Zea mays: one gene and its partner. The protein of the gene in region 1 binds, or shares a complex with, the protein of each later gene. Links are inferred from orthologs where the notes say so. Each region holds a gene or a part of one and is shown on either strand. Other genes may lie near its edges.

What was found.
Region 2: Nuclear-pore anchor (region 1) and IDP351 share a complex: the UniProt entries of both Arabidopsis thaliana proteins name them as parts of the nuclear pore complex. The link is inferred for Zea mays from reciprocal best matches to the Arabidopsis thaliana genes NUA and SEH1H.

What each region holds. Positions count from the first base shown.
Region 1 is NC_050099.1:187,927,603-187,932,854, forward strand, and holds part of Nuclear-pore anchor, read left to right. Parts: intron 1-1,137; coding exon 1,138-1,230; intron 1,231-2,762; coding exon 2,763-2,918; intron 2,919-2,999; coding exon 3,000-3,053; intron 3,054-3,625; coding exon 3,626-3,739; intron 3,740-3,872; coding exon 3,873-3,950; intron 3,951-4,032; coding exon 4,033-4,182; intron 4,183-4,432; coding exon 4,433-4,504; intron 4,505-4,960; coding exon 4,961-5,107; intron 5,108-5,185; coding exon 5,186-5,239; intron 5,240-5,252. UniProt on the Arabidopsis thaliana protein: Component of the nuclear pore complex. Acts as a docking site for activities required for desumoylation and mRNA export. Required for the proper expression or localization of a subset of miRNAs.
Region 2 is NC_050098.1:223,531,507-223,535,106, reverse strand, and holds the start of IDP351 (Protein SEH1), read right to left. Parts: upstream 2,459-3,600; 5' UTR 2,205-2,458; coding exon 2,061-2,204; intron 1,243-2,060; coding exon 1,131-1,242; intron 1-1,130. UniProt on the Arabidopsis thaliana protein: Required for proper export of mRNAs from the nucleus to the cytoplasm.

The sequences.
Region 1 (5,252 bases):
CAGACTTTCCAGGCTACCAAAATGATCGAGGAATTCATGCCCTTGACCTCCTTAGGAACTTGATTGATTACCCCAAACCACCAGCCTGAAAAACTCCTTCCACTGGGCTGCGGGATATGTGTAGGCAGCCCCAAGCAAGTGAATACCATGGCCCAAACTTCACGTGGGAAAACACAGGAGATAAGAAGATGCTGCATGGTCTCCTGCTCCTGGTCGCAAAGAGGACTGATAATAGAATGCGGGAGCCCACGTCTAGCCAAGCGATCCGCCGTCCAACATTTATTCTTTAACAGCAGCCAGATGAAGAATTTGCACCGGAGGGGTGGCCAGCTTTTCCAGATCCTTTTCCAAGGCCCAAATTTAATTGTCCCTAAGAAGAAAACCCGATAAGCAGATTCAGATTGATAAGAGTACTCAGATATTCTCAGATATTCGACCAAACGAATTGATCAAGAACTCCTGGTTGCAGAATAACAGCATCAACCAACTCCAAAATTCTCAGATATTCGACCAGAACTTGGACAGTAAGCCCCCCGCACGGATATCGGTAACCCATGTATGATTAGATATATACGTGGTAGGCTAGGGGTAACACCAATTGAAGAAAAACTTGTCCAATGCCGTTTGATCGAATGGAATATACCCAAAGATTTAGCCTTGAATTGGAGCGAATGGAAAACAACTATCCATGTGCCTGAACTTGATTTGTGGCTTGTGTTGGGTCTCAGCTCTAGCCTAACCTAACTTGCTTGGGACGAAAAGATTTCGCTTGTGTTGTTGTATGCCTGGCTTGGGTTCCCAGAATGCCACCTCTGTTTTCTTTGGTGGACTTTGAGTTTATCTATATTCTGTGGTTTTCTAATGCTATAATATACTTTTAATGCTGGGTATATCGTTAGCACATGTGTTATTTTTGTTAAATTTTGATTATATATGGTTCCTTATTTTGCGAGAAGTGAGCAAAGCAATCAGAAATAAAATCAAATTTGGCCTCTTCGTGCATTTTTTTTGAGAAAAAATGTATCGATTTCTTGATGTGCTACCGCCTACCGGTGTACATTATCAATGTTGCATTGAATTTTGTAGTTTCCATTGTTCTGTTTCTTACGTAACTAATTCATACTGCAATCATTTCAGGAATGTCTAAGATCTTCTGCTGAACAAGAAAAGATAGGCTTATTGAAAGAGAAGGACGATGCCCTGCAGAAGTATAATGAGCTTAATGATCAGGTTATTTAGCAATTTTTGTGTTGAATATCTAATACACTACCACAAAAAGTTTTTTTATTACATTTGATGTTTGTTATTCTTGTTTAAGTAATTTTCTGCCTGTTGTAACTGCATGCTGGACATTCACCTTTTGTTTTCTTTTCATAGCACATGCCTACTTCAAGTGTTAATTTGTAGTGGACATATTGTTACTGCTGGGGTGTAGACATATATTTGGAACAAGTAATTGTTGTCAGTTAGGGATGAAACTGGACAGGATAAATCCTGTACCCTCTACCTTTTTTGTCCCAACCATTTTCATATAACCGGGAAATTACAGTACATCTTAGATATAAAAAATAATATAACTCAATAGCTGTAACTTCAAGTGTGTTATTGTGTACTCTGTTTGGTTTTAATATTCTGGTTTATGTCTGTTTCTGCTGAATCCCCACTCGTATTTACCCGTTCCGTATTGCCGTCTATCTTGGTCCCGGCTTTTTGGGTCCTGCCGCTCCCGCTCCCGGCTTTTTTTGATCCCGCTTTCATCTGTTTTCATCCCTATTATGAGCGTAGCACAGTATGGTACTCCCTATGTTTTCTGGTCGAGCGACCAGCTGGTTGACCTAGGGTTCCGACCAGGTGACTAATCGTATATATGGTATATATAAAGTAAAGATTAAACATGACATGAATTTTGCAATACTGACTTAAGAGAAGATATTTGTTCATCCATCTAAAAATAGTTTCTCCCCAGTGACCCTAAAGTAATGCTGGTGTTCAAAACAGCAAAGAAACACTTACTACCACTCTAGAATTTTGGACATTTAGAAGAACAAGTAATGAACAGCGATTGAGAATTTCAGAGATCTAGAATTTTGGAAGGTTTTATTGAGGCTGCCGGCGGACGTTTCACCTCTCTGTAGCCGGCTGCTTGCCAGAAAAAAGCCCATAAAAATTTGAGGCGCGTCGAACCTTGGTTGGACATTATCTCCTGATGAACGAGCGACTAATCGTAGCTAGTCGGCAACTAGTCGGATGGCCAAGGCGATCAGGTGTCCAGTGTCCTAATCGGGTCGCCTGCCCTGATTGACCACCCAAAACCTACCAGCCCGACTAATCGCGATTAGTCGGATGATAATGAAAACACAGCTCCCTCCATTTAAAATTACATACATTTTGGCTTTTCTGTATTCATAGTGTTTGCTATATATGCACTTAGATATACACTATGTCTACTTGTCTAGATACATAGTAAAAGCATGTATCTAGAAAAGCCAAAATGTTTTATAATTTGGAATGTAGGGAGTATCATGCAAAAAGGCTTGAACTCTCCAGCTAGATAAATGTCTCATTTGTAGTAGTAAATAATTTGAAGATGAAATTGGTTAGTGACGGTTGTGGACGTATGTATTTTTATGGTCTACTTCAACTAGGCATATATTGGGAGTCTGTGCTTTCACTGCTTCTTAATGCTATTCTTTTCACAATTAATGATTCTGAGTTTGACTAGCATGCATTTTTTCATGATTTCTATTTTGTTATGAGTGCAGAATAGAATTCTACACAATCAGTTAGAAGCTTTACACATTCGGTTAGCCGAGAAAGAACGGAATATTGCTGGGCTTTCATCACATCGTACTGATAATTCACATGCAGAAGATGATCTACAAAGTGTCATCAGTTATCTGCGCAGATCGAAAGAAATAGTAAGCATTGGATTTGGAGGCTTTGTCTAGTATTCAGTTTGCACTAGATGTGGTTCTTATTCAGCCTATTGACTATTTCAGGCCGAAACAGAGATATCATTGCTTAAACAGGAGAAGTCTCGGCTTCAGATAGAAGTATGTTATGCTAGCACCTGGCAACCTGCCCTGCATTTGTCCTTATTCAAAATGCTTTTGAATTTAAAAATATAAGATTCCATGAGGACCATCTATTGCTGGTTAAAAAACTGCAGCACATTCTGCCAGATGCAATATGCCATGTTGACCATATAATTAAAAAGTTGTTCGATTTCTGTTTGATAAACTGTGCATTGGTTCAGTGTCGTAGGATCTATGATTTTTTTTTGCTGTGCGTCATGTTGCCTTCTAGTTGGTGTCAAAACACCAGCTCTACTGGCAATTGTTTGTTTAAATTGACGCCTCCCTAATAATAGCCAATTTGCTCTGGAAACGGTGTTATCTGCTATATGCGTACATGCTCTGAAATTGATGACCCTTTTTAATTCATCTGTCTTCAAGGAAAGGGGGTTTTTTATAGACTAAATTCGGAATGTTTGGTTGGGACTTTTGTGTTAGAAGTAGTATTTGATGGAGCATGTGAACCTCCATTGTAGTTTACTTTACAAACTTTTTTGGTTGAATGTATTGATGTCTCTAATTTCATATGTTTCTTTATAATGGTAATACAGCTGGAAAGTTCTTTAAAGTCTGCCAAGGAGGCACAGGACTTGTTGCGAAGTCAAGCTGATAGTGCCAGGGCATTGATGTTCAAGGATGAAGAGTTCAAGTCACTGCAGATTCAGGTGCAATTCAATTGTTGGGATTAGTTGATCACATAGCTATGTCGCATTGCTATGTTGCTTTGACCTGGTTATTGAGTGTATTTTAGCCTTATTACCTTATTTATTGTTTTTTATTTGAAATGACCGACCTCAGGTCAGAGAAATTAACTTGCTTCGTGAAAGCAACATACAACTTAGGGAGGAGAACAGGCACAATTTTGAAGAATGCCAGGTAATATATTAAATTGGTAATGTTTAATTGCTGGTTCATATCTGGATGTGCATAATTTTTTATTTTAATTTTGTGCGTTCAGAAATTCCGTGAAGAAGCTCAAAAGGCTAAAATGGAATCTGAGAGGTTGCAGAACCTTCTACTGGAGAAGGAGGTAGACGCTGAAATGTGCAAAAGAGAACTGGAAATGCAGAAGGCAGAAATAGCTAATCTCAACCAAAGTATTTCTGAGGTAAGTTTTAGTCCACTTTCTAACAGTAATGATAAAATGCCATGAAATTCCTTTGGCTTCATTAAGAACAGCAGCTGTGGTTTTTGTCCCAAGCAAGTTTTAGTCTGTTGGTTTGTAATATGCAGGTTATTGCCATAAAAAAATTGTAAACATTGTGAGAAAACAATATGTGCATAAAAATCTATATATTAATTCATTCTATTCTTCATATGTTGAGTTCTGCAGTTGTGTATTAATGTTTTCTTGGCAGCTGATTGAAAATAGCAAAGGCATTGATTTGAACACTTATGAAGCCATGAAGAATGAACTTCAAAATATCAAAGTTAGTCTTCTGTTTTCCTCTTCGTTTTTCTTTGTGATGATGCCATTTTGAATGTTTCTTGGTCAATGATGTATACATGATTGGATTTCTTTTTCTGCACAAAAGAGTTTGATGACTGTCATTTTTGTCTAGTTTGACTAAACATTTGATGAATCACTATAGTGTCTTGTTTCCCTATTTTGTACCAAATATTTTTGTACCACTTTATTTTCTTTGCTGTGAGTTTGTGACATAAACTGTATGAGCTTCTGCACTGTACTCTGTATTACGATTATTGTTATCTTTTGGATGGATGCTTGCTTTGGGTGAAAGTGATGGCGCAAGTCTCTAACTGTACATGAGTCATTAAGTGTCTAATTTCATTAGTTGTATGATATTGGATTTGCTTGACTTTTTTGGGTCATAGTTTAATCGTCTTACTATCACATACATTAACATAATTATCGTTTTCAACAGTCAACCTTGAGAGAGAATTCTATGGAGCTTGAAAGTGCAAAGATACTGCTTTCTGAGAAAGAAGTTGCCATAAAAATTTTGGAGGATAAGCTTTCATTATGTCAATCTGAATTGGATTCCAAGGAAAAGAAGCTGAATGATGTAGAGGTGATAATAGTTCCAACTTTCATGACTAATATATTAACTAATTCGCTGTAGTACTTATATTTTTTTGTCCTATTGTAGGCGTCCCTTAAATCTGAGATTGACAAGCATAAGAAGATTAATTTAAACTTAAAGGTTTGGTTTTTTT
Region 2 (3,600 bases), on another chromosome or scaffold:
AATCTGGAATATATTTGAAGTTTGGATAAAAGTAGGTATATAGAATAGAGTTTTGTGTAGGAAATAAGATTGTGTTTTGTGTAGGAAATAGGATTGGTTTGCTAGGAAAGGAGAAATCCAAATCTATAAAGACTCCTCTAATTTGCTTTGAGTACGAGTCCTCTAGGGACTAAATATAGGAGCGATGTAACCTTTCAATCTTAAGCAGAGACAGAGCATCAACTCTCCCCTACCTCTCTCTCTCTCTCTTCTCAACCTTGGTCTCCTCTCTAGCCACTGCCACCTCCCACACCGCACGTAGGCACGTGCTGTCGTCCTGCCCACGCTGCCGCTCAAACCCTAGCCCCTGCGTCTCCAAAGCAGCAGCACCGCTTCCCCCCTGCCCTAGCCGTCACTGGCAGGAGCAAAAGCAGCCTCCTAGACAGCCTTCCCGGGAAGGACTGTGACACTGACTTCTCATAAAGGCACTTGTGCAAGCAAAGGATGATAAAGCCTCATATTTTTTAGCTTTAGAAAAAACTTGAAAGTGAGTGACTAAAAGACAAGGACAGAAATATCTGTTGGTGGTTTGTTCAAATATCGCAGAACTAAATTACTCCCTCCGTTCTTTTTTATTTGTCGCGGTTTAGTTCAACATAAACTAGCGGACGACAAATATTCGAGAACAGAGGTAGTACAATTTAGAGAAACACAAGATACAGACAGGACTTGAAGTAAAGGTCAGGTTCAGTATATCGTCCAATCCTATCCTAGTAAAATAGTCTTGTACTCTTGTTATTCATTCTACAAGAGAGGTTGTTAATTAGTCTATATATCCAAATATTCCATGGTAAAAGGTGCTTTCGTGGTCAAAATGAGTTCTCCAGGTAACCACCAGACCAGCAAGAAAAAAGAGAAATTTAAAAGATTGCTAAGTGATTCACATTTTTTCTGAGTCAATGCACACAAGGTACTGTTGAATATATTAATACACACCACCAAAAAAACGCAAAGCTCTCTGACATGAACATAAGGTACTGTTTAGTATTCCAATACATAAAAACTAGCAAAAGCATGTGAAATGAAAGTACAAGATAATTGCAGATACAGAACATCATAAACCAAACCTAAAAGGCATAGAAATAACTGACCAGCAGCAACCTCCTCCCACAAAGACAGTGTCCCATCAGCACAAACACAAGCTATAGCATCCCCATACTCTGGAGGAAGCCAGACGACATTCACAATGGCTTGCTCATGGGCCTGATCCAACACCAACCAGGTTATACACCAGAATACACCAGTTTGTACAATCAAAAGAACAACTGAGATTAACACAGTAAACATAGAAGGAACCGATTTTGGATAACAGTTTTCAAGTAGTCTTGTGTGCAATGCCCACAAGGCTGCATATCCATCATAATTTTCAGAGCAAGCACAAATTCAATGTCAGGAACTCGAATTATTGCCATGAGAGAATTATTACCATCCCACGGCACTGCTACTTAAGGACACTTACTAGTCTATGGCCCTGTTTGTTTCATCTTTTTTTAGCTTCTGGCCACGAGAAGCTGCTGTAGACTGCCAAACACCTAGTTTTTTAGCCCGTTTATATGAAAATCACTTCAGTCAAAATCGTCTAAAATCAACGTGAATACAGAATCGGCTGATTCGTTGTGATAGTAGGAATCCATCACTTTCTACATGCTAAACCCTATGAACTTATTTATCTTTCTCCGCATATAATCTTCACGATACTCAAATTCTCTCAATGGACAGATTCCCTCCGCACTCAGAAAACGCTTTGCTGAAAGAACAATATTTGTGAAATCTAGAGAGTGAATTTGGTAATTCGCCCCCACGCAATGTGCCCATGACAGTCCTGCCCATCATCGTACGCAAGTACTAGAATGTAATACTAGGCAGCAACAAGCTCTAAACACACACGGGGCAACAGAAGGCACTGTGCATGCGCTGGGGGCAGATGAACTCGAGCGAAAGCTACTGAGAACGGGGCAAGTCGTCTTCAGCCGGGGGGGAGGGGGTAGGGGAGAGACACGGAGGAGCGACGCGGAACTGACCTGCCACTTGAACGAGGGTGGCGGCTGGGAGTCATAGACGGAGACGGAGCCATCGACGGCGCCAGCGGCGAGGCGGCGGCCACAGTGGTTCCAGCCGCAGCACGCCGTCCCGGGACCCAGCTCCGCCACCTGCCGCTCCGTCATTCCGTCGCCTCTTGCCCTCTACGGCTCTACTAGTGACGTCGTGGCGGCGGCGAGTGTCTGCCTGAGTTGAGTTGGGTCGGGCTGCGGGCCCGGATTTGCGGCGTTTCGGGTGCGACCGTGCGAGTGAGCCCAGAAGGCTGTCGCTGTCATGCACTCAGGTCTGTTTGGCAAGGAATCCTAGCCCAAGCACTCAAAGTCCAACGCCTGAGATCTGTGCCAGGCCAGGCAACTTTGGCCGGCTTCAAACCAAACAAGCCATGCTATGAGATGAGGAGATATATATATATGGGCCTGTTTGGTTCGTGGCTAACTGTGCCACACTTTACCTAAGTTTAGTCGTCCGAATTGAAGAACTAACCTTAGGCAGAAAAAGTTAGGCAAATTATGGCAAGTTAGGCAGGAAACCAAACATGCCCATAATTTTTTTTCATCCTGAGAGGGTGTTCAGTTGTGGATAAGAAAGTTGAAAGTAGATAGATTCTAGAAAACTTCCTCTCTTTATTTCAAGGCTCCTTTGGATCAAAATAATTTTATAGGAAAAATAGGATTCTGATTTTCATAGAAATTACTATTGTAGCATCCTTTGGTTTGTAGGGTTGAGCCTTAGGAAATTTAGAGGAAAGAATCATTTGTCATTGTTTCGTATGCAAAATGCATGAAAACAAGCATCCAGTCATATCTTTTTTTTCCAATCCTTTGCCCCAACTAAACAACCTTCCACTCAAAATTATTTTTTCATTCCTCTGTTTTACACATGCATTCCTATATTGTTCCTACATTTTTTTCTATTCCTATGTTTTTCAATTCCTACTTTCCAGGTAGTGTAGATAGTTCTTAGAAGTTAGAGTTGAGTCCGAGCTTTGTCTCGGAAGTTCTAAATTTCTCTTGGGGTCTTTAGATATATCTTTTTTTTTTACCAATGACTATTAAATGAAATCTAGTTATCTTGTGTTCTAGTGTGAGCACTACCTTTGTTTTACTTTAAGTATTACATTCAAATATTACTTTATTTTACCTTTATTTCTTGGTTATTGTTGAGGTAGTATAGGAGCACTTTAACTAAGGCTTAGCATTGTGTTAGATTGTTGATTATCAAGTCTTATCTGGCTTGTTGATGTTATAAGCCACACCTAGTCATGGTTACTATGCTAGTTACCTCTGACCCTCTGATCCAGGAGGAGTTTCAATGTTTAAGCTCCACTTGAACACTGTCATAATGTATCATCCTATCCATGCAGCTATGGTTGGTAGCCCCTATGTGTGACACTGAGAGTGTGGTCTATGTATCACGACCTCGTTGTCAAATAGGCATGTAATTGATAGCTGGCTTCCCTTCGGTGTTCCACCTATCCGCCCCTAGGAACCTTGAAATCTACGGAATTTCGCTCGAAGCAAG